Linked DNA regions of Oryctolagus cuniculus. The protein of the gene in region 2 interacts with the protein of the main gene of each other region in a biochemical or structural test. Links are inferred from orthologs where the notes say so. Each region holds a gene or a part of one and is shown on either strand. Other genes may lie near its edges.

Region 1 (6,339 bases), on a different chromosome or scaffold from region 2:
ATTCTCCAAGGCCTCAATTTTTAGAGACATCAAATAGGGCAGAATGTTAAAATGTGAATAATATGTGAATCAGTAAAGTATACATAGTGGTTTTTTGTACCTGCAGCTTTCCTAGAATTTAAATGATTTCTCAAATTATTTTTTAAATATCACCAGTTTATAGAAATTAAAAATATATTGATTATACTCTATCAGCTTTCACAGAAATGCCCAGTTTAATTCAGTTGGGCAGATCTCCAGTGATCTGAATTCAGCTCTGCCATACAAATGACCTCATGCACACTGAGTTGTCTTGCCATGGCTGGGAGAGTACATAATCCTTTGGGTCTTTAATTCATTGCAATAACCTGGTTTAAAAAGAAACAAAAATCTAAGTGTGATTCTACTTGAGAAACAGCTGTGATGTAACTGGGACAATATCAGAGTCGAATTCCCCTTCTTATACCAATTGTGTACAAAGAATGCAAAAATGATGCTTCATTTTTTATTTCCCCTCTGCCCTCCCACCCCACCCTTGGTGATGGTTGTACCCATTTGAGCATTTCTGAGCACATGACCATAAGTAAATCTTAAGAGAGGAGCAGAATTTGTGTCTAAACAGTAACAGAGGGGATTAGCTGCAAAGATAGCATAACTGTTGTGCAGTAGAGTAGAAGCTGCCCAGGTCTTCTTAGTGGACAATGCATAGAAGACTTAGAATTATGGAACAGTTTCCCCAGCCATCCTTTCCCACCCCTGTTCCCTAATGCCCCCCTACGTCCCCCCTCCCCCAATTAATAGTGTTAACAAAAGCTTAATCTTCCAGTTTTAAAGTGCAAATGATTTGGGTGTGACTGCTGTTGCAACAGGTATGAACAGAAAAAAACGAAGTCCTCTGTCTATGCAATGTTTTCCAGAATATAAAAGATGAGTTCCATGACGACGGGGCCCTCACTGAGCTGGCAGGCCCCTCCATGGATCACTGGCACCAAGGCGCTGTCCAGGTCATTCATGTATTGCGAGGGAAGGGGCTGGCCATTGCTCCCTGCTTGATAGCCAACCTATACCACAGAGAGAAGGGGATGAAGGTTACTAGACTGAGACGATCTTTTCAGAGGGTTCAGAGTCAAAGAGGCTGAGCAGGAAAGGAGATGTCCTTGGCCGTGGGCTGTACACACAATGGTGAACACAGATTTCTCCTCTTCCCTGAGTTGTCATTTAATAATCCTGATCACTTAGCTTAAGATTTCGGGCAAGTCTCTCAACCTGCTGCGGTCTTAGTTTCTAGGAAAGGGGGTGCTGTGCAGAAAGAGGGGGAGTGTCAGAAAGAGTGCCTTACTTTCCTTTGGTTGTAAAAATTAAAATCAAATACATAAAGTACAACTCCTAACAGCAGGAACTGAGAATCTGCCCTTCAGTCCTCCATTCATCCATGTTCCATCTTCTTAGCACCCACAAACAGGGATTCTAAGATGAATGGAACCAGGCCCCTGCCTTCAAGAGGCTCACTCAATTGGCAGAAAAATGCTGTTCTTTAACTGTTTTATGTAAGGGAAATCTCTGTCTCCAGCCTGGTTATCAGTGTCATTTAAGAATGTGCCATTTGTATTACCCTGGCATGCTTCGTACAGCACTAGGCAATACCTCAAGTACAAAATAAACTTGTTGACCGATGGCTCATCAGGAAATGGGGCCCGGCACATAACCTGTCATCCTAACAGCGCAACTCTGTATTCACGAGCCAGCTTCTCCCTGTAAGCACTCAGGATGGAGCGGCTTGCTGTGTAGAATTCATACTCAGGCTGGCGCCGCGGCTCACTAGGCTAATCCTCCGCCTAGCGGCGCCGGCACACCGGGTTCTAGTCCCGGTTGGGGCGCCGGATTCTGTCCCGGTTGCCCCTCTTCCAGGCCAGCTCTCTGCTGTGGCCAGGGAGTGCAGTGGAGGATGGCCCAGGTGCTTGGGCCCTGCACCCCATGGGAGACCAGGAAAAGCACCTGGCTCCTGCCATCGGATCAGCGCGGTGCGCCGGCCGCAGCGCGCCGGCCAAGGCGGCCATTGGAGGGTGAACCAATGGCAAAGGAAGACCTTTCTCTCTGTCTCTCTCACTGTCCACTCTGCCTGTCCAAAAAAAGAATTCATACTCAGCTAGGAATGGTGATCAAGCTGAGTCTACACATTTTCTAAGTGACTCCAATCTAAAGTGTTGATGGAGAACTACAGCAATGTTTAAACATCAAAACAGGACCAATGGAATAAGTCACAGGTATCCAACATGCAAAAGAAATGCAGAGAGATCAGAGTGCTTAGCCACAGGAGAGACACTGGGACAAGGAACTACAGCTAGGGAGGGCTGAGACTGGACTGGTGCTACACAGAACATATAAAAAAATTAAGTGAGACAGAGAGGGAAGCCTGGCAACAGGAGACCCAAAATGACAGGAAAATTAATTCAGAAATAGCTCAAGTCCTATTTATTCACTAATTAGCCTGGTAAATATCTCCTTAAGGCCTGGGCAGCTGCAGAGTCCAGTCCACAGAAACCTGCCCTAGCTGGGTGAGGGACAGCTTGGGCTCTGCCTTCTGAAGGAGCGCTGCTGAATGCTTCCTGATGGCGGGAACGGGGTGGTTCCAGCGGCAACAGGTCCTCACTGTACTGCTCCATATTAGGGAGGAAATCAACTCCTTGGAGACATGGAGATGATGAAGCCACAGCTCAAATGATTCTGAGAGTGACCAAGCATATTGGGATATATTAATATTCTTAGAAAGCCAGAATACTACATCTGGTCAGGCAGGAGGTCTGGAAGATTCAGCTTCCTGGATTGTGGCAAGAAAACTCAGAAGGCAGAAAATACAGACACTACCCCCAAGGCCGGCTTCAACTTCTTACCTGGTCTGAGTCAAGCGTCACACGTAATCCCAGTTTTGTCATTCCATCTTCCTTCAGAAGCTTCAGGTGGGGACAGAGAGCGAGGCAGAAAGCCTTGGCAACGTGTTCCGTCAATCTGCTATGATCTGCAGGATCACTTAGGCAATTGTGCTGGTCATCATTTTCTAGAAAAAACACCTGCCACCCCCCCCAAAAAAAAGATTTTTAACACTACCTAAATTTTGGAAGAAACAAGAGCATTAGTTTACTGTATATGAACACCCTGATTCTTGAAGATGTGTAAGATCTCAGGACACCATGGTCCTTGGGCCAGGAAAATAGGGCACTGATGTCTTAACGCTTGAGAAACAATCCCTGGAGGCCAGCACTGTGGTGGACTAAGTAAGGCTGACGCCAGCATCTCATATGGGTGCCAGTTTCAATCCCAGCTGCTCCACTTCCAATCCAACTCCCTGCTAATGCACCTGGGAAAGCAGTGGAGGTTGGCCCAAGTGTTTGGATCCCTGTACCCATATGGGAGAAATGGAGAAAGCTCCTAGCTCCTGGCTTTAGCCTGGCCATGCCCTGGTCATTGCGGCCATTTGGGGAATGAGCCAGCAGATGGAAGACTTTTCTCGCTGTCTCTTCCTCTCTAACTCTGCCTTTCAAATAAATAAAATAAATTAAAAAAAAAAAAAAACAAACAATCCCTGCCTCTCTTTCCATGACTCTGCCATGGTTATCATATTATATTGTACTCAGAATCAGAAAAGGACTTCATTTTGCACTGTGTGCTTCTAAAAGGTAATCCCCATTTGTAGACAATTTTCCTAGGAAATGATCTTAGGCTCTTAAGAGAATAGACTTCATAGATGATGTGATCCAGCCCCTTCATTTTAGTTTACTCACTGACCGGCTCAAGTGCAGAGAAGTACTGAGAGGCAGAACTAAGCCCAGAATCTGAGTCTTCCACCTCTCGTTGCAGGCAGAGCTTTTTCCCACAAGGCCCTGCCACTGTGGAGGCCAGAGCTGTCTGCGTTCACAGAGAGCAAGCACTGCACTGTGCACAAGCGGAAGCTTAGCAGACTGGAGATGGGAGACTCCAATACCAGTCACACAGACAAAGGGTGCTGAATAATCCAAAGACTAAAGGAAAGGAAAGGGCTTCTTAACATCTAGTTTGCCTCTAGATGGCAAATGCAAAGCACATGTGCTCTCTGGTTGTTTGAAGTTAAAAATTATAATGGCGAAAATACAAAAGAGAACTGCAAATACACAATGTTTATATACACCAACCTCTAGCTTACTGCTCAGTAAGGGGCTCATCCTGAGAATGCTATCAAGGAAGCAGCTCTGAGGCCCTGTGCCTGGATGCACAGGTGAGAGCAGCAGCGTGAAATGATGGAAAGAGTTCTGGATTGGGAGTCCACAGACAGGTGCTGTGGGCCCTGTTCTGCCAGAAAGTTACAAAGCCACACAGTCTCAGCCTGTTTTCTCATTTGCATAATGGGATGACTAGACTGCCTACCTCACTGAGTTATTGGAGAGCAAAATGGAGGGAGCAGAGATCAAACTAGTTTATAAGCTAAAAAGAATTTTGCATGTTCTAGACTGCCCTGATCAAAATGTGTCAAAGGAGCAACCATTACAAACCAAGCAGCTAAAATCACCAAACTGCATATGAAAACATGGGGCCTGGTATGAAGGAAGGGTCACTGAAACACCAGCTCAAGACCTAGAGAGCTGGGTCCCAGTCCCTGTGTATCAGGGACCAGCTTTGTGAATCTGGATAAGATACTTTCATCTCTTTTGGTCTCAACTTCCTGTGTGTAAAATAGAAAAGCTAGAAGTCACAGCCTTTTCAGAAAGAATTAAAATTTTAAAGTTTAAAGGATGCCTAGAGATCTTATTATTCAATCATTTATTTTATAGATGAGTATATATGAAGCTCAAAAGCAACAAAGAGATTAAGGCTCTATCTGTTCGCTCTGTAAACATACTCTGGCTCAGGTTAGCCTCTAATACAGCTTTTGAGTTAAGGAGCCATTTAGTTTAGTAGAAAACAGCTTTGGAGTTTGCCAGATCTGGGTGTGAATTAGGATTTTTGCATTATTTTACTTGCCTTGTAATATTTGACATGTGACCTAGTCTCAGAAGTTTATTTTCTTATTGGCAAAATCAATCTATTTAGGATTGTGTTACTTATCCAAGAGAGTTCTAACTTTAAGTGCAACAAAACCAACCCAATTTATGGTGAATACAGCAAACCATTCAGAGATGCACCCTTCTTGAATTTCAACACAGATCAACCTCTAAAAGCTAGTTTCCGAGAAGCAGCACACCTGGGAATGCTGAAAGCTGTATTTGGTGGCATTTCTTCCCAGTGATCTAAGACCAGAGTAAAGTGGAGTATAAAAGTAAATATAGATTTTATTTTTTTAATCCTCCAGAATCTTCCCAGAATGGGCCCTTGGCCTAGCAAAAACTTGTGCTCAAAGTAGGTCAAGGGTGTGAGGTTTCATTTCCTTACCTCTGTCCATCTGATGACTTTTCCATTTGCTTTATACTCTGATCCATGAAATATCTTCACATTTGTTATAGACTCCATGGACTTCCCATCTATCGGACTTATGACACTGAAGTAAAGGCAAAGGAAAGAGAAGCAACTTTTTAATTTAGAGGAGCCATTTCTCTTATCACGTCTTGCTGCTCATTACACTGGATTCCTTGCTGAACTCAACTGTGCAGCACATCACAACAAGATGACATACAAAAATGTACATGAGCAGAGCTCTCATGCAAAGAGCCTAAGCGCTGAAATATGAGTCAAAGAACACATGTGTGCCCTCAAGAAGAAGGCCCTTTCCTTTATATATATGTATTTTTTTTTAACAGGCAGAGTGGACAGTGAGAGAGAGACAAAGGTCTTCCTTTGCCGTTGGTTCACCCTCCAATGGCCGCCGCGGCCGGTGCATCACGCTGATCCGAAGGCAGGAGCCAGGTGCTTCTCCTGGTCTCCCATGGGGTGCAGGACCCAAGCACTTGGGCCATCCTCCACTGCACTCCCTGGCCACAGCAGAGAGCTGGCCTGGAAGAGGGGCAACCGGGACAGAATCTGGTGCCCCGACCGGGACTAGAACCCAGTGTGCTGGCGCCACAAGGTGGAAGATTAGCCTAGTGAGCAGCGGCGCTGGCCCTTTCCTAAGAGCTGCTTCTCTTTAATGTGAACAAAGTGTTCAATCAAATCTCCTCTCCCTACAGTCCTTCTTGCAGTGAACCCAAGGTCACTCACCCAATCTTGTTCTCTATTATGGTCCTGGGATATAATGATACTCATGTTATACTCCATATTTTTGCATATCTGAATGGTGGAGAATATGATATATTTACCTCTGTGTGCTCTATTCCTAGTACTCACCTACTGCTTAGAAATTGGGAGGTTACTGAATGTTCATTAAGAATTATTTGAGGGACCAGTGGTTAGCCTAGA
Region 2 (7,923 bases):
GGGACTACATTGGTAGCCTCTCCTTTCCCCAATCTTACAGATTCTGGAAGGCTTCCTAAATGGAAGAATTAAGGACCCGGAGTCTGATACTTTGAAGAGATGGTCTAAGTGAGACTTCAGACATATTGCCTATTGAATTGTAAAAAATATATAAAAATATGAAGAATAATCTTCTCAGGGTGGGCAGTTGGCCTGAGTTAAAATGCCAGTGTGAAAATACTGCACCCCATACTGGAGCATCTGGGTTTGATTCCTGGCTCCAGCTCCTGACTCCAGCTTCCTGCTAATGCAGGGTTCCTGTCAGCCACGTGGGAGACCCTGATGGAGTTCCTGGCTCCCAGCTTTGACCTGGCCTGGCCCAGTCCCAATCATGGTGGGCATTTTAGGAGAGAACTGCAGATGGGAGTGTTCTGCCTCTCAAATAAGTAAATGAATTTAACAAAATCTGCTTGAATTACACTAGGAACAGATTCTCCCGGAATCCCAGCCATTCCTGCTTCTGCTCCTACTCCCACTACCCGGGTGGACACCCAATGCGATAGGAGAAAATATTTGTGTGCCAGGGCCATTATTTATATGCCATTTCATAGCAGGTAAAATTGTCGACTTGCATTAGCAGGAACAAGGAGCCAAACCCAAGAATGGGCTCTGCCCTCCATGGTCCTTCTTGACGGTTCTGGAGCATGGAAGCAGGAGGCCCGGAGGTGGGTTCCTGGCTCTCTTTCTCAAGCCCCTTTTAAAAAGTTGTAAGAGCTGCCTCCAAACTGACAATGCAATAACCTCACAAGAAAACTGTTTAAGGAAGAATTTCTGCTGAGTAGGTTCATCTTAGCCTAGATGTCTGCAAAGCACTGACTTTCCTTTAACTTCAAAGCCCTGTGCTATCTGCTTTTTTTTTTTTTTTGACAGGCAGAGTGGACAGTGAGACAGACCGAGAGAAAGGTCTTCCTTTTGCCGTTGGTTCACCCTCCAATGGCCGCCGCGGCCTGCGCACCGCGCTGATCCGATGGCAGGGGCCAGGTACTTCTCCTGGTCTCCCTTGGGCCATCCTCCACTGCCTTCCCTGGCCACAGCAGAGAGCTGGCCTGGAAGAGGGGCAACCGGGACAGAATCCGGCACCCCGACCGGGACTAGAACCTGGTGTGCCGGCGCCGCAAGGCAGAGGATTAGCCTAGTGAGCCTCGGCGCCAGCCGCTATCTGCTTTCATAATTTTAATGAAGCATTGCACAACTGTTTACAAGCAGGCATCATTGCAGGTGAGTTCCACTGGCCAAATGACCACAGATCGGGGGACCTGCCAGCCGAGTCCAAATCTGCAATCTCCCTGGCTCCAGGGTTCGTGCTCCTCACTCCAGCTTTCCAGGGGAAACGTTCTTGGTGTTTGAGGAGCAGGATGGCAGAAATGAAGGGCAGTTTGCAAGGGCATCTGGGAAACCCGAGAGATTGTGGGAAGGTCAGTTCTCTCTCAAGGTGCATCTGAAGACACCCTCCTCTGGGATGCCCCGTTTTTTGAGAAAAGAGGAGTATATGTCAAACACTTGTTTCAAATGCTCACTTAGTACTTCCTGATTACTGACTTGTATTGCTACAGTAGCTTGTTTCTCTAGAGTCTCCAATTATGTTAGAAAGGACGGACCACGAGAGGATGAGGCTGGACATCCAGCCAAGCAAACTCCTGTTCCTGCCACCAGCTACCTGTGTGAGCTCAGTTTCTGTTCAACTTCAGTCCTATGGGATTCACTGCCCAACTAGTTTTTTTTTTTTTTTAAAGATTAATTCATCTGGAAGTCAGAGTTATGGACAGAAAAAGTGGAGACAGATCGTCTATCTGCTGGTTCACTCCCCAGAGGGTCACAAGGAAGCCAGGAGCGTCATCCAGGTCTCCCACGTGGGTGGCAGGGGCCCAAGCACGCAGGCCAACTTCAGTTGCTTTTCCCAGGCCATTAGCAGGGATGTCGGTGGGAAGTGGAGCAGTCTGGACTCGAACTGGCACCCATTTGGGATGCCAGCCTCGAAGGTAGCAGCTTTACTTCCTAGGCCGCTAAGCCACAAAGCTGGCCCCACTAGTAGGGTCTTAAGAAATCCTTCGCGTGATTAGTTGGGCTCAACAGTTCTTAGGGGCTTGCGTGCCCCCAAGATAAAACCAAGAAAACTGCGCCTAAGTGTTGTGCGTGCTTGGGCAGTTTAGGGCCTTGCTGCCTCCAACAGGGGCCAAGGAACACTGCCCGCACGGGGACCAAAGAGCAAGGGGAGACAAACTAGCAGTCAAGGGGCAGTGCGCCGGGTGCTCATCTTCCAGACTCCGCAAGGACCAATCTGCACGTGCATTACCAATGTCATTTTTACTAACGGGGGGCCCAAGGTTCAGGTTTAACAAAAGTACCCAGTATCTCCTACCCGGACCCCAAAAGCACAGAACGGATCTCGGGCCCGCCCCCCCACCCCCCGGCGCCCCGCACGAAGGCCCCGCCCACAGCCCGCTCATCTGCATACGGGCGCGGCCAGCCGCCGGCCTGGTACCCGGGCTTCCGCAGGACCCTCTCGCTGGCCGAGGCGCGTCCCCTCCTCTGGGGCAGGCCAGCGGCCTCCCGGGAGAGGAGCACGTGCAAGCTCTCGGCTTCAGGACGGAGCGTGAACTGGCCGTCAGTCTCCCACAGACGCTACCCAGCAGCGCTGGCGAGGGGTCAGGGAGGGCCCGGGGCCGCCGGAGATCGTCACCCCGGCCCTGTGGGGTACGGCTCTTTCCCGCCCCTCCCCGCCCCTGAGCGCGCCGACGACCAACTCGAGCGAAACCGCGGCCGTCCCACCCCGCCCGGCCGCGCCGCGCCTCGCCTCACGCTCGACGGGGGAGGCGGGACCAATCAGCGAACGACGTCTCCCTTCCGATTCGAGGCCCCCGACGCGCGGCTCACACCCCGAGCTCCCCGCGCGCTGATTGGCTGCGCGCGCCGCCGGTCCGGCCGGGAGGCGGGGCGGGCCGAAGGCAAAGGGAGGTGGGAGGCGGTGGCCCGCGACTCCCCGCGTCCCGCTCGCCCCCTGGCCCTTCCCGCGGCGCTCGGCCTCCTTCCTTCCCTCCTCCGCTCCCTCCGTCTTCCGTGCGCGCCCCGCGCGGCGCTCGGCCGGCGTGCCTCGCGCCCTAACGGGCGGCTGGGGGCGCCAATCAGCGGGAGGCAGGGTGCCAGCCCCGGGGCTGCGCCGGCGAATCGGCGGGGCTCGCGGCCCGGGGTGGGAGGCGGGTCTACCCGCGCGGCCGCGGCGGCGGAGGAGCAGCTCGCCAGCCTGCAGCCCGCGAGCGCCGAGCGAGCCGCCCAGAGGTGGGTGCGCTGCGCCGCGGCGGCCGGCGGCCGAGGGCGGAGGGCGGAAGCGGAGGTGGGCCGGCGGGGGCGGGCGCGGGCGCCGGGAGGGGCGGCGGGCGCGCGCCGGTGGGGAGGAGGGGCGGCGGCGGCGGCGGGGCGCGCGCGTCCCCACCCCCTCCTGCCTGCGGGCGGTGGCCGGGCCCCCACCCTGGCCGCGAGGCGGGGCGCCCGGCCGGGCACGGGCCTGGGGGCGGGGCGCGGGGACGGCGCCGAGAGTGTTCTCAGTTCCGCCTCCCTTCTCCCGTTCCCTTCTCGGCCTCCCAGCTCCCTCCATCCCATCGGAAGAGGACGGAACAAAAGGTCCCGGGCCCCCCGGCTCTGACGGGGCGGGACCTGGCGCCTCGGCGCAGGTACGGCCCGGGCGCCGCGGGCCGCGGGCGAGGGGTGTGTTTGCGTGCGGCGGCGGCCGGGGCCGCTGGCGGGGTCACATGGCTCCGGCGGGGTGGGGGCTGGGGTGGGGCGAGATCGGGGCCGTGGGCGCGCCGGCCGCGGGCGGGTCGCCGGCGCCGCACGCTCGGTGGGTTGTGGCTGTGGTCGCTCCAGCCCGAGGGCCGGAGCTCGGGTTGCGGGAGTTGTCGGGAGCGCGTGAGGAGCGGCTGGTACTTTGCTTCCACTTTTTGTCGTGTGGTGCTGTAACCTTTGTTAACCGTGAGAGCCGCGGGCTGCGAGGGGCGGTGTGCGCTCTCGAACGCGCGCAGGCTGCGGCTCGGCCCGGCAAAGTTGCTCCCGGAGCCGGCCTGCTCGGCGCCCTCGCCTTCCGCGGGCTGCAGACTGGCCGCACGCAGTCGCAGCTCGGATCCCTGCCTTCTCTGGCGGGACCTGCCCGTGGGTCAGGCGCTTGTCTGTCTGTCTCGTTACTTACAAACCCTTGTTTGATCCAAGACGCGAGAAAAACGTGATCTAGGTTGCTTTTGGTGTTTTCCTTTGGACCCTTGAAAAGCTAAATACCGCCCGCTCGTCGCCTACCAAACCTTTGTTTTTTTTTGAAAAGCCTGCAGGTGGGACGGATTGGGAAGTTGTGCTTCTAACAGGCATTCTTGTTTGCTACGGTGTGGAATATCGACTTGGTATTCCAAACTTGTGTAAAATGCCATTTGTAAAGTTATTGTTAGTAGACGGTCAGGTAAACTGCTTTGGAGTAATTCTGTCTTTTCAGAAGTTCCTGACATGAATTAAGGTTGAAAAAAAATTTTTTTTTGTTATTTTCTTCTAATTTCACATAAGTTGAACCTGTACCACTGATAAGGATGCGTTCCTTGGGTCTGATGGAGTAAATTTGCTGTTACTGTACAGAAAGTACACAGGCTGTTCTACTTTCGACCTCAGTTTTAAAAGTTCTCGTCTGGTGGAGAGCTGTTAGTCAGATAGTTAAATGAGGTTTGAACTGCTTGGTACACGGATTAGTGAGGCAAATGTATCAGTGATGGAAGGAATGTAAAACGTGTTTCATCAGTGTATCGTGGTGAGGGTTTTTTCATTTGCCTTAAAACCCCTACCTAGGGTATTTTGAGAATTCCCTTCCCTAGAAAGTCATGTGGCAGACGTTTGTATTAAATTCTGAAACACAGCGGTTTTGTTTTTAAGATTTCTTAGTTTTCACATAAACGTAGCTGTGTTGGTAAATATAAACAGTTGATGTGTTTGAACATTGCTAAAGCAAGTGCCCGCTTACCCTCTCGCAGTTGAAATCCGCATTTCATTGCGTTTAAGTGTTGGCTGTGTTTAATGTAACGAGCTTGGAAAGTCCGTTTCTGGGGGTGTTTTAGTAAGAAACTGCTCTTCGGAAGAGCGTGCTTTTTCTACGTTCACCTTCCAGTGTGGTTTTGAATTTTAGGTGTTCAACAAAAAATTGGGTTTTTCAAGGTTGTAACCTACCAGTGCTTAGTCATAAGAGGTTAATTTTCTACACAATCGGTAATGAAATAATAGTCTTGTAAGAAATTGTGCAGGGTGATTTCCTGTTTGTGGTTTGTCAGCCTTGGTATGTGTTTTAACTCCTAGGTGGGAATATTGGGGCTGGATTTTTGTATTTCAGCACAAGTTGTGTTTAATAGGAAGAGGTGGTTTCTACTTCAAGATGTCAAGAGGCCCCCTTGCATTTTTATATTGTAAGTACTAGAATCACGGTGTTGAAATATTACTGCTTCACAGTAGGGGGAAATGCATGAGTGGGAATTAACACACTCCGTTTAGCTGCTGGTCAGAGACTTGTTGAATTTTTACATTTTGTAAATTGTCAGTTTTGACTTGGAAGCCTAGAAAGTTTTTCTTACGCTTGTTTGGTTTTGACTGTGCTTTAGGACCCCCAAAACTTAATTTTCTGGCAGTTTTTTAAAATTTTTTAATTTATTTATTTGACAGGTAGAGTTATAGACAGTGAGAAAGGCCTTCCTTCCGTTGGTTCACTCCCCAAATGGCCTCTATGGCTGGCGCTGTGCCGATCCGAAGCCAGGAGCCAGGTGCCGCCTCCTGGTCTCTCATGTAGGTACAGGGGCCCAAGCACTTGGGCCGTCCTCCACTGCCCTCCCGTGCCACAACAGAGAGCTGGACCGGAAGAGGAGCAACCAGGACTAGAACCCGGCGCCCACATGGGATGCCAGCTCCGCAGGTGGAGGATTAACCAAGTGAGCCACTGCGCCGGCCCCTCTGGCAGCTTTAAATACAAGTGGATTTTGTGGTGTATGTAAAAGCCGTATTTAGAGCATTCTGGCAGATAGAGGTTTATTCATATTTTGGAAACGAGTTTTTAGAGGATGAAGGGAGACTTGTTTTGATGGGCGCAGAGGAGCCATTTTTAGGCCCGCAGTTTCTGTAAAAGCAAGGTGGTTTTCCACTAAATATTACAAGAGTATATCAGAAAATGTGAAATGTAGGGACCCTTGGCGACGCCCACACCCCATATCTCAGTGCCAGTGTGCCTGGGAAGGCAGCAGGTGATAGCGCAGGTACTTGTGTCTCTGCCACCCAGCTGGTCTTCCAGGCTCCTGGCTTTGGCCTGGCCCAGCCTGAGACATTTGGAGAGTGAACCAGCAGATGGAAGATCTTTCTGTCTCCTTCCCTGTCACTCTGCTGTTCAAAGAAATGATTTAAAAAAAAAAATGATTTATTTAATTATTTTTTGAAAGGCAGAGTGACAGAGGCAGAGAGATCAATCTTGCATCCACTGGTTCACTCCCCAAATGGCCGCAAGGACCGGGGCTGGGCCGATCCAAAGCCAGGAGCCAGGAGCTTCTTCCGGGTCTCGCATGTGTTCTCTCAAGCACCTGGGCCATCTTCTGCTTTCCCGGGCCATAGCAAAGAGCTGGATTGGAAGTGGAGCAGCCAGTGCTTGAACCGGCACCCATATGGCATGCCGGCACTCAGGCGGCAGCCTCACCAGCTATGCCACAGTGCTGGCCCCCAAATAAATCTTTTTTCTTCTTTTTTAAAGATTTATTTATTTATTTGAAAGTTACACAGAGAGAGGAGAGACAGAGAAAGAGGTCTTCCGTCCGCTGGTTCACTGCTGATACACCATAGCACCGGCCCCAAAAAAATAAATCTCAAAAATGTGAAGTAGGGACCAGCGCTGTGACACAGCAGGTTAAAGCCCTGGTCTGCAATGCTGGCATCCCATATGGGCACTGGTTTGAGTCCTGGCTGCTCCACTTCCGATCCAGCTCTCTGCTATGGTCTGGGAAAGCAGTAGAAGATGGCCCAAGTCCTTGGGCCCCTGTGGGAGGCCTGGAAGAAGCTCCTGGCTTCGGATCGGCACAACTCCGGCCGTTGTGGCCATCTGGAGAGTGAACCAGCAGATGGAAGACCTTTCTCTCTCTCTGCCTCTCTGTAACTCTTTCAAATAAATAAATAAATCTTTATTAAATAAATGAGGTGTAAGGAATTTAAAACTGGTTTAGGAGAGGTTATGCATTACTTGAACAACTTGTATTTGTGGACAAGTCACATTTATTCAATGGTTTTTTTCTGTGTCTCAGACTGTGGGCTAGCAATAAAGTGTTTCACAGCAAATCATTACATCCCTGTTCCTTAATGCAATTAGGACAGTGGACACTTGATGTTTTCTGCCCCATTCCCTAGTGTTTGAGTAAGATAGTGTACTAAGTGTGGGAGCACACGATGCCTGCGGCAGTGAGCTCACGGTGCTCTCTGTGCTTTGGACAAGAGGGTACTGGAGAAGATGTGTAGTGTGAACTCATGGGATCACTGGAGCAGCCACTGTGTTTCGATGTGTGTGGTCTGTGGAAACTGAAGGTATAGCTGATCTTTCAGAAACAAGTTTGTGGTTGAGCAGAGACACACCTGCAGAGCAGTTTAATTTGATTACCTATTGCCCTGTAGTTATAAAAACTGATTAAGGGGAAAAAAGCAAATCTGAGTCAGGGTCCGGGTGAGAGAATTAGGAATAAGGTGTCAAAACAAACTGAGAATAAGGGTTTGGTAGCAGTCTCAGGTGAAGGAGAGGCCTTGGGGTTTTGATCAGAGCTCTAGGTTGAAGTTTGGTTTCTCAGTTACAATGTTGAGTAAATTACTCAACTCTAGAAAATAGGTGTAGTAAGGCCTGCCTGT
Region 3 (6,413 bases), on a different chromosome or scaffold from region 2:
GGGGCCCTGAGGGGACAAGGCAGGCCCCCTGCGCGGAAGGCACTGGGGCCCCGGGTTTAAGGGTCTTCCAGAGGGTGAGGAGGAGAAACCGAGGCAGCAGCCACGCTGGGGAAGGGGGAGACAGACACGGGCGGCCACACTGGGAAAGGGGGACAGACACGGGCGGCCCGAGGAGTCTCTGGGAGGCGGTGGCCAGGCCCCTGGGACCCTCGGCAGGCAGCCAGGGCGGCACGCTGGGGTCCACCCTCCAACGTGCCGACGTGACTGAGGGTGGCTCTCGGAGCCGTGGTGCCCGTGGAGGCCTCCTCCCAGCTCCAGCTGACCCCGCAGGCCTGGGGTGCGGCCCCGTCCTCGCCCCCTGCCCGGGGCCCCAGGGACACACACAGGCCCGGCAGGTTCTGTTTAAATCAGGCATTTATAAACAAGAAAGCATACATTAATGACATAAAAATAGTCTTCGAGTAGCAGAGTAAGCGTCGTATTGTCATTAGCAGCAGCAGAGGTCCGGGGCGGTGCGGGGGCAGGTGGCTACGAGGGTCCGGGGGTTCTTTTTTTTTTTTTTTTCCTTAATTGAAAAAAAATGTCATTTGTGACTCCTGACTTAAAGCAAGAACAGAAACAGCCCGCGGGCGGGGCGGGGCGGGGCGGAGCTCCGACCCCGCACGTGAGCGTTTTTCTTGTTAAAAACAACCCAGAAAACAGACGATTACCAGGTGAGAAGGGACCACCATGTACACGTATGATACAGGGCGCCGAGCGGGTCTGTACAGGGCTGCGGCCGCCGGCGCTGCGGGCCGCGCCGCCGGGGTAGCTGCTCGAGAATCAAGGTTATTGCTGTTGGTTTTCCCTTCGTTAAAAACCTCCTCGCGAGAGAAACCATGAGGATTAAAGTGAACACGCGCTGTCTGGATGACGGGTTTTACGGACGGGAGTCAACAGCCTGTCCTCGCAGCTGGGCCGGCCGCGGGCCAGGCGCGGGCCCTGCGCTGGAGCGGCCGGAGGACGGGCGCCCCGCCCAGGCCAGGGCCCCGAGTGCGAGCTGCTGGTGAAGGGAGCCCACCCCGGCTCCCGCGGGCGCCCCCCGCAGGGAGGGGCGGGAGGCGAGGGCCCTGGGGGCAGAGGCGCCACCCGACGCTGGGGAGGCAGCCGGCCCGGCCCGTGGCCCCAAGGGGCGCCCGACAGAAGACACGGGCGGCCCCGGGCGGGCCTGGCGACACGGAAGCCACGCGGAAGCCGACACATTAAAGCTTTGCTCCAACTAAACCACTAAGTTTCCCTTGAAGAAATGACGGAAAAGCACAACTCTGGCGAACAAGGCGGAGCCGGCGCTACTGCCCGTGGTGGAGCGACCTACGGCAGGGGCGTCCCGTGCCTACAGACCCCGGGACTGCGAACGGACGACAGAAGCCAAGGACAACGTCCACACAGACGCTGCGTATACACCATGTCCATTTTGCATTGCACTTGAGGGGGCGGCGGCGGCCGCGCCCCCGCGGTAAACCGAGGGCCGACCCTGCAGACTCCGCCGCCGGGGGGCCGGCCGTCCTGGTCTCTGCTGCGGCGCCGCCGGCGCTGTAACGGATTCGGATTCGAGCAAAGAATTCCCGCGCGATCTTCCGCACTCAATAAATACCGAGGCCGCGGGGCGGGCCGCTCGTCTCCTGGGAAACCACTTTTCAAGCCTGGGCGTAGGAAACCGTCTACGATTTGCATAAACAGTCGAGAGCAACGACACTACCTGGAATCAACGCGCTAACTCATCTGCGTGGCAGCTCCCATCGCCACGGAGACGGGGGCGCGCGGGGCGACGCGGTCAGGACTCGCCGCGCAGGACGCTGGAAGGCACAGGGCGGCCCCGGAGTTCAGTTTTGCATTTTCGTTTTCTTGTGATTCCCTTGTTCAACCAAGCACCAGAGGGGTTCCGAGCACGGGAGCGCTTAGGGCTGGCACTGCTCCAGGACCGGAGAAACCTCGCGCACGGCCGGGACGACGCGGCGGCGGGCGGAGCTGCCGGGCGCTCGGGCGCACACCGGCGGGGGCGCGGGTAACGCCGTGTCTGGTTCCGACGAGGACGGGGCGGGGGGTAACGCCGTGTCTGGTTCCGACGAGGACGGGGCGGGGGGTAACGCCGTGTCTGGTTCCGACGAGGACCGGGGGGGGGGGGGTAATGCCGTGTCTGGTTCCGACGAGGACGGGGGGGGGGGTAATGCCGTGTCTGGTTCCGACGAGGACCGGGGGGGGGGTAATGCCGTGTCTGGTTCCGACGAGGACGGGGGGGGGGGTAATGCCGTGTCTGGTTCCGACGAGGACCGGGGGGGGGGTAATGCCGTGTCTGGTTCCGACGAGGACCGGGGGGGGGGGGTAATGCCGTGTCTGGTTCCGACGAGGACCGGGGGGGGGGGGGTAATGCCGTGTCTGGTTCCGACGAGGATGGGGCGGGGGGGGGGGTAATGCTGTGTTTTGTTCTGACGCTGCAGCCTCAGTCCCCAAATCAAGGAAGCGGGGGCAGGGGGCGCCCGGCCACGCCTCGGGCCCACGCAGGCCAGCACCTGGGGAGCCGAGGACGGCCGGGGCGGCGGGCGGCCCCTGCGTGGCTCTGCCCTTCCTGGCGGCGGCGGGCAGCGGTAAGGCGGGCAGGGTGGGCTCATCTCGCACGCGGCTCTCCCCCTGCCCTTGCCGGGGGCGGCAGGGAGACGCGGGTCCCGGTCGCTGAAAAAATAGACTGAAGAAACCTCCGAGGCCGCGGCGGCCGCGGGCACAGATGAGCGGCGATGGCTTCCCCGGCGGCGGCGGCACGTGCTGGGGCTTTGAAAAGCAGTCATTAAAAAAGGTTGATTTTCTGAACATCGAGTCTCCTTATTGGTTTAAATAGCTTATAACAAAAGTGTAAATGTTAGACGGTTCCAGCAAGCAGAGGGCCAGCCACGGGCCGCCGGCGTGCGCGCGCCCCGGCTCGCCCCGGCCTGGGCAGTAAATCCCGCGTGGACGCCAAGTGCGGCTGCGACACTCGGGAGTAGGCACAGTAAGACGTGGTGGGCGCCCCGCCGCTGGGGGTCAGGGCTGCAGCTCGCCGGTGCCCTCCCCGCCCGGGCGCTCGGGCTGCGGCCACAGCTGCTCCTGCAGGCCCCGCACCACCTTCTCCAGGTGCTCCCGCGCCTCGCGCTCCCGCAGCAGGTCGGCCCGCAGCTGCTCCCGGTCGGCCTCGGCGTGCTGCAGCTTCACCTGCAGGTCCTCGATCTGGAAGGCACAGCGCCGTCAGCCGCGCCGGCCCGCACACGGCTCCGGGGCGGGGCGGGGCGGGGCGGGGCGGGGCAGGGGGCGGGGCGGGGCGGCCAGGCCGTCGCCTACCTGGGCCGAGTACTTGGCGCGCAGGCGGCCGGCCTCGCAGCCCTGGTCGCACACCCGCGCCTGGCGCGCCTGCTCCAGCTCCCGCTTGAGGCGCAGCCGCGACTCGTTGGCCTCCTTCATCTTCCTCTCGTTCTCCGCCCGCAGGCGCTCGATCTCCTTGCGCAGGCTGCGCTTGGCCTCCGTGGCCTCCCGCAGCTTCTCCTTCTTGGCCACGCGCAGGAACTCCAGCTCCTGGGCAGACCCGGCCCGTGACCACGCAGCGGGGCCACTCCCTCAGCCCCTCCCCCGCCCGGCCGTGACCACGCAGCGGGGCCACTCCCTCAGCCGCCCTCCCCGTCCCGATCGGACGGCCACCAGCCCCCCACGCGGCCTGCGTGGGTCCCATGTCTGCCGCAGCGGGGCCTCTGGCTGCTGCTCCCCCAAGCTGGGCGGCCACAGACCCAGCCGGGGAGCCCCCGTCCCTACCGAGGCGTGGGGGGGGGCTGCCAGACGCAGCTTCGGGAGCGGCCAGAACGAGCAAGGCCAGGGCCTCCGCCTCCCCGGCTCTGAAGACGACACGCGGGGCCCTGGGAGAGGCGGCGGGTGCACGCGTGTAGGTGTGTGTGTGCGCAGGGTGTACACACACCTACTGTACACACTCTGCCATGGTGCACACCGGCCCAGCAAGTGGGGCCACTGGGCGGGCCTCTCAGAAGCCACGGTGCAGGGGGTGGCCAGGAAGGGGCGGGTCTGGACGCTCACCTGGTGCAGGGGTGGCCAGGAAGGGGCGGGCCTGGGTGCTCACCCGCTGCAGGGGTGGCCAGGAAGGGGCGGGCCTGGGCCCTCACCCGCTGCAGGGGTGGCCAGGAAGGGGCGGGCCTGGGCCCTCACCCGGTGCAGGGGGTGGCCAGGAAGGTGCAGGGGTGGCCAGGAAGGGGCGGGCCTGGGCCCTCACCCGGTGCAGGGGTGGCCAGGAAGGGGCGGGCCTGGGCCCTCACCTGGTGCAGGCTGCGCCGGGCCTGCAGGGCTGCGCTCAGCTTCTCCTCCTGCTTCACCCGCATCTTGACCACCTCGTGCAGGAACTTCTCTTTGGCTTCCTTGGTGTCCAGGCCGCCCTCCAGGGCCTGCCGCAAGTGCTCCAGCTCCGCCTCCAGCCCGCTCGGGGCGTCGGCGTGGGCCGCAGCGTCTGGGGCGGCCGGGGGCGGGGCACGCACGCCCGGGGAGCTCAGGTCCTTGGCGGAGCTGGACGAGGCAAAGGACGGGGAGGAGGTGACTGAGGAGAGACGGAGCAGTCAGCGGGCGCCCATGGAGGCCCCGCCGCACCGCCCGGCCCGGCCCGCGGGCGGGAAGCCCCCTCACACTTACATTCCTCTCTGCTCTCCACCTCCACCTCGGCCTCCGAGTCCTTGTCCTCCTCCGGGGCGGCGCCGGGCGCCGGCATCTCTGGGGCTCCGGGGGTGTCCCCTGCCAGCTTCCGCTTCCGTGGCTGGACGCACGTGGGGAGAGGCTCCGGCACCCGGGACACGACGGTGGCACATGGTGTGCTGCTCACGACCTTCTGGGGCGGTGGTGCGAGGGCCACGTTGGGGGCCACGGCCGTCTCGAAGCTCTTGTAGGAGTAGAAGCTGCGGGGGTGTGCGTGAGCTGACCGTGGCTGTCTACCCGCCCTGAGCCCACCCGCGCTGGCACCACGGTCACAGGACACACCCCTCGGAAGGCCACAGACAGGAGGTCTGTGTGGCCAGGCAGGGGGTCCAGGAAGCCTGGAACAGGGACTGACCTCGAGGACCAGGAGGCCACGCCCTGGGGCCCCCAAGGACCACACGGCTCTGGAAATGAACCGGCGCTGTGTGGCAGCTGGGCGAGAGGCCGCAGGCCCAGGCACTCACCTGTCTCGGATCAGGGCTGGGAGGTGCGGGGACAGCTCTTTCTCAGTTGAAACCGCAGGGGACCAGGGTCGGAACGCGGAGAGGCGCTGGCGAGGGTGGACACAGCTGAGGCTCTGTGGGACAGGAGTGGCCTGTGTGAGCCGCTGGGCAAGGACAGGCTGCCCCGTGTCCTGGAGGCTAGGCCGGGCACAGCAGCCAGTGGCAGGGCCCACTCCCAGAACCGCCCAGTGGCCCTCCCCGGGGGCCTGCACACAAAGAGGTCTTCCATCTGCTGGCTCACTCCCCAGATGGCCACAGTGGCTGCCACCAAACCCAGAGGCCTGGGACCCAACCCCGGGCTCCCACAGCCCGCACGGCACCTTGCTGGAAGAGCTGGGCAGGGCCCGCAGCCAGCTGGACGGCTTGTCCTTCTCGGAAGACGCAGGGGACTGGGAAGAGGAGTCGTCTGTTTTGGGTCTTACGGAGGCCGGAGGCTCGGAGACCTGTGACGGACACAGAAGACGCTGTTGGTGCCCGGGGCCCAGGTGAGCAAGCTGCCCGGAGGAGGACCGGACGGCACCGCGCACCCAGCGGTGAGATGAGACGGAGCCCACTGCTCAGGGCCAGAGCCAGGCTTCGTGCCGGCGTGAGGCGGTCAGGGTGACCTCCCCCCACAGCTGCAGCAGGCTCTGTCCCTGTGTGTCTACACCACCTTCCTAGAGCCAGGGTTGCTCTCAAGCGGGGCCCTGGCAGGAAGTGGCCCCTCCCTGCAGCCAGGCTGAGGACTGGGGCTCCCAAGAGCCAGCAGGAGCCGAGGGTCCAGCTCTGGAGCGATGTGGACGAGCTCCACCGAGGCCCTGGGCTCCCCTAGGAGTGAGAGCCATGCTGGTCCTGCCTGCCCAGGGCTCTTCCCGGGAGCAGGGAACGGCAGGAAGCCCGTCTCCCCAAGGCCCCGGGTGGGGGCAGGGACGCCCTGGCCAGAGTCCTTGTGCACAGCCCCTGCCCAAGGCCTCGAGGGCAGCCCCGGCAGACCGGCCAAGGACAGCGTTCCCAACAGCGCTGCGCGCAGGCCCCGCCCAGGTGAGCGCGGCCAGGGTGGGGCTTCCTGTCTGAGGAGGCCTGAAAGTGCACCCGGCGCTCACCGAGGAAGCCACAGATGCCGCGGCCTCCCAGAAACGTCAGACTTGGCGGGGGGCGGAGTGTCAGCGCGGCTGGGCC

What was found. The genes of interacting proteins can lie anywhere in the genome.
Region 1: the proteins of SMAD2 (region 2) and ZFYVE9 are reported together in a solved structure, tested with the Homo sapiens proteins (2 studies listed by BioGRID and IntAct, with this or other methods). The link is inferred for Oryctolagus cuniculus from reciprocal best matches to the Homo sapiens genes SMAD2 and ZFYVE9.
Region 3: the proteins of SMAD2 (region 2) and SKI form a complex in vitro, tested with the Homo sapiens proteins (4 studies listed by BioGRID). The link is inferred for Oryctolagus cuniculus from reciprocal best matches to the Homo sapiens genes SMAD2 and SKI.

What each region holds. Positions count from the first base shown.
Region 1 is NC_091438.1:120,588,859-120,595,197, forward strand, and holds the end of ZFYVE9 (zinc finger FYVE domain-containing protein 9), read right to left. Parts: intron 5,486-6,339; coding exon 5,380-5,485; intron 3,048-5,379; coding exon 2,871-3,047; intron 1,041-2,870; coding exon 879-1,040; 3' UTR 471-878; downstream 1-470. UniProt on the Homo sapiens protein: Early endosomal protein that functions to recruit SMAD2/SMAD3 to intracellular membranes and to the TGF-beta receptor.
Region 2 is NC_091441.1:29,770,773-29,778,695, forward strand, and holds the start of SMAD2 (mothers against decapentaplegic homolog 2), read left to right. Parts: upstream 1-2,484; 5' UTR 2,485-2,733; intron 2,734-2,951; exon of another isoform or gene 2,952-3,370; intron 3,371-3,483; exon of another isoform or gene 3,484-3,707; intron 3,708-3,805; exon of another isoform or gene 3,806-3,956; intron 3,957-5,392; exon of another isoform or gene 5,393-5,465; intron 5,466-7,923. UniProt on the Homo sapiens protein: Receptor-regulated SMAD (R-SMAD) that is an intracellular signal transducer and transcriptional modulator activated by TGF-beta (transforming growth factor) and activin type 1 receptor kinases.
Region 3 is NC_091438.1:163,608,584-163,614,996, forward strand, and holds the end of SKI (ski oncogene), read right to left. Parts: intron 5,699-6,413; coding exon 5,576-5,698; intron 5,330-5,575; coding exon 5,217-5,329; intron 4,953-5,216; coding exon 4,693-4,952; intron 4,601-4,692; coding exon 4,326-4,600; intron 3,580-4,325; coding exon 3,349-3,579; intron 3,238-3,348; coding exon 3,055-3,237; 3' UTR 397-3,054; downstream 1-396. UniProt on the Homo sapiens protein: May play a role in terminal differentiation of skeletal muscle cells but not in the determination of cells to the myogenic lineage. Functions as a repressor of TGF-beta signaling.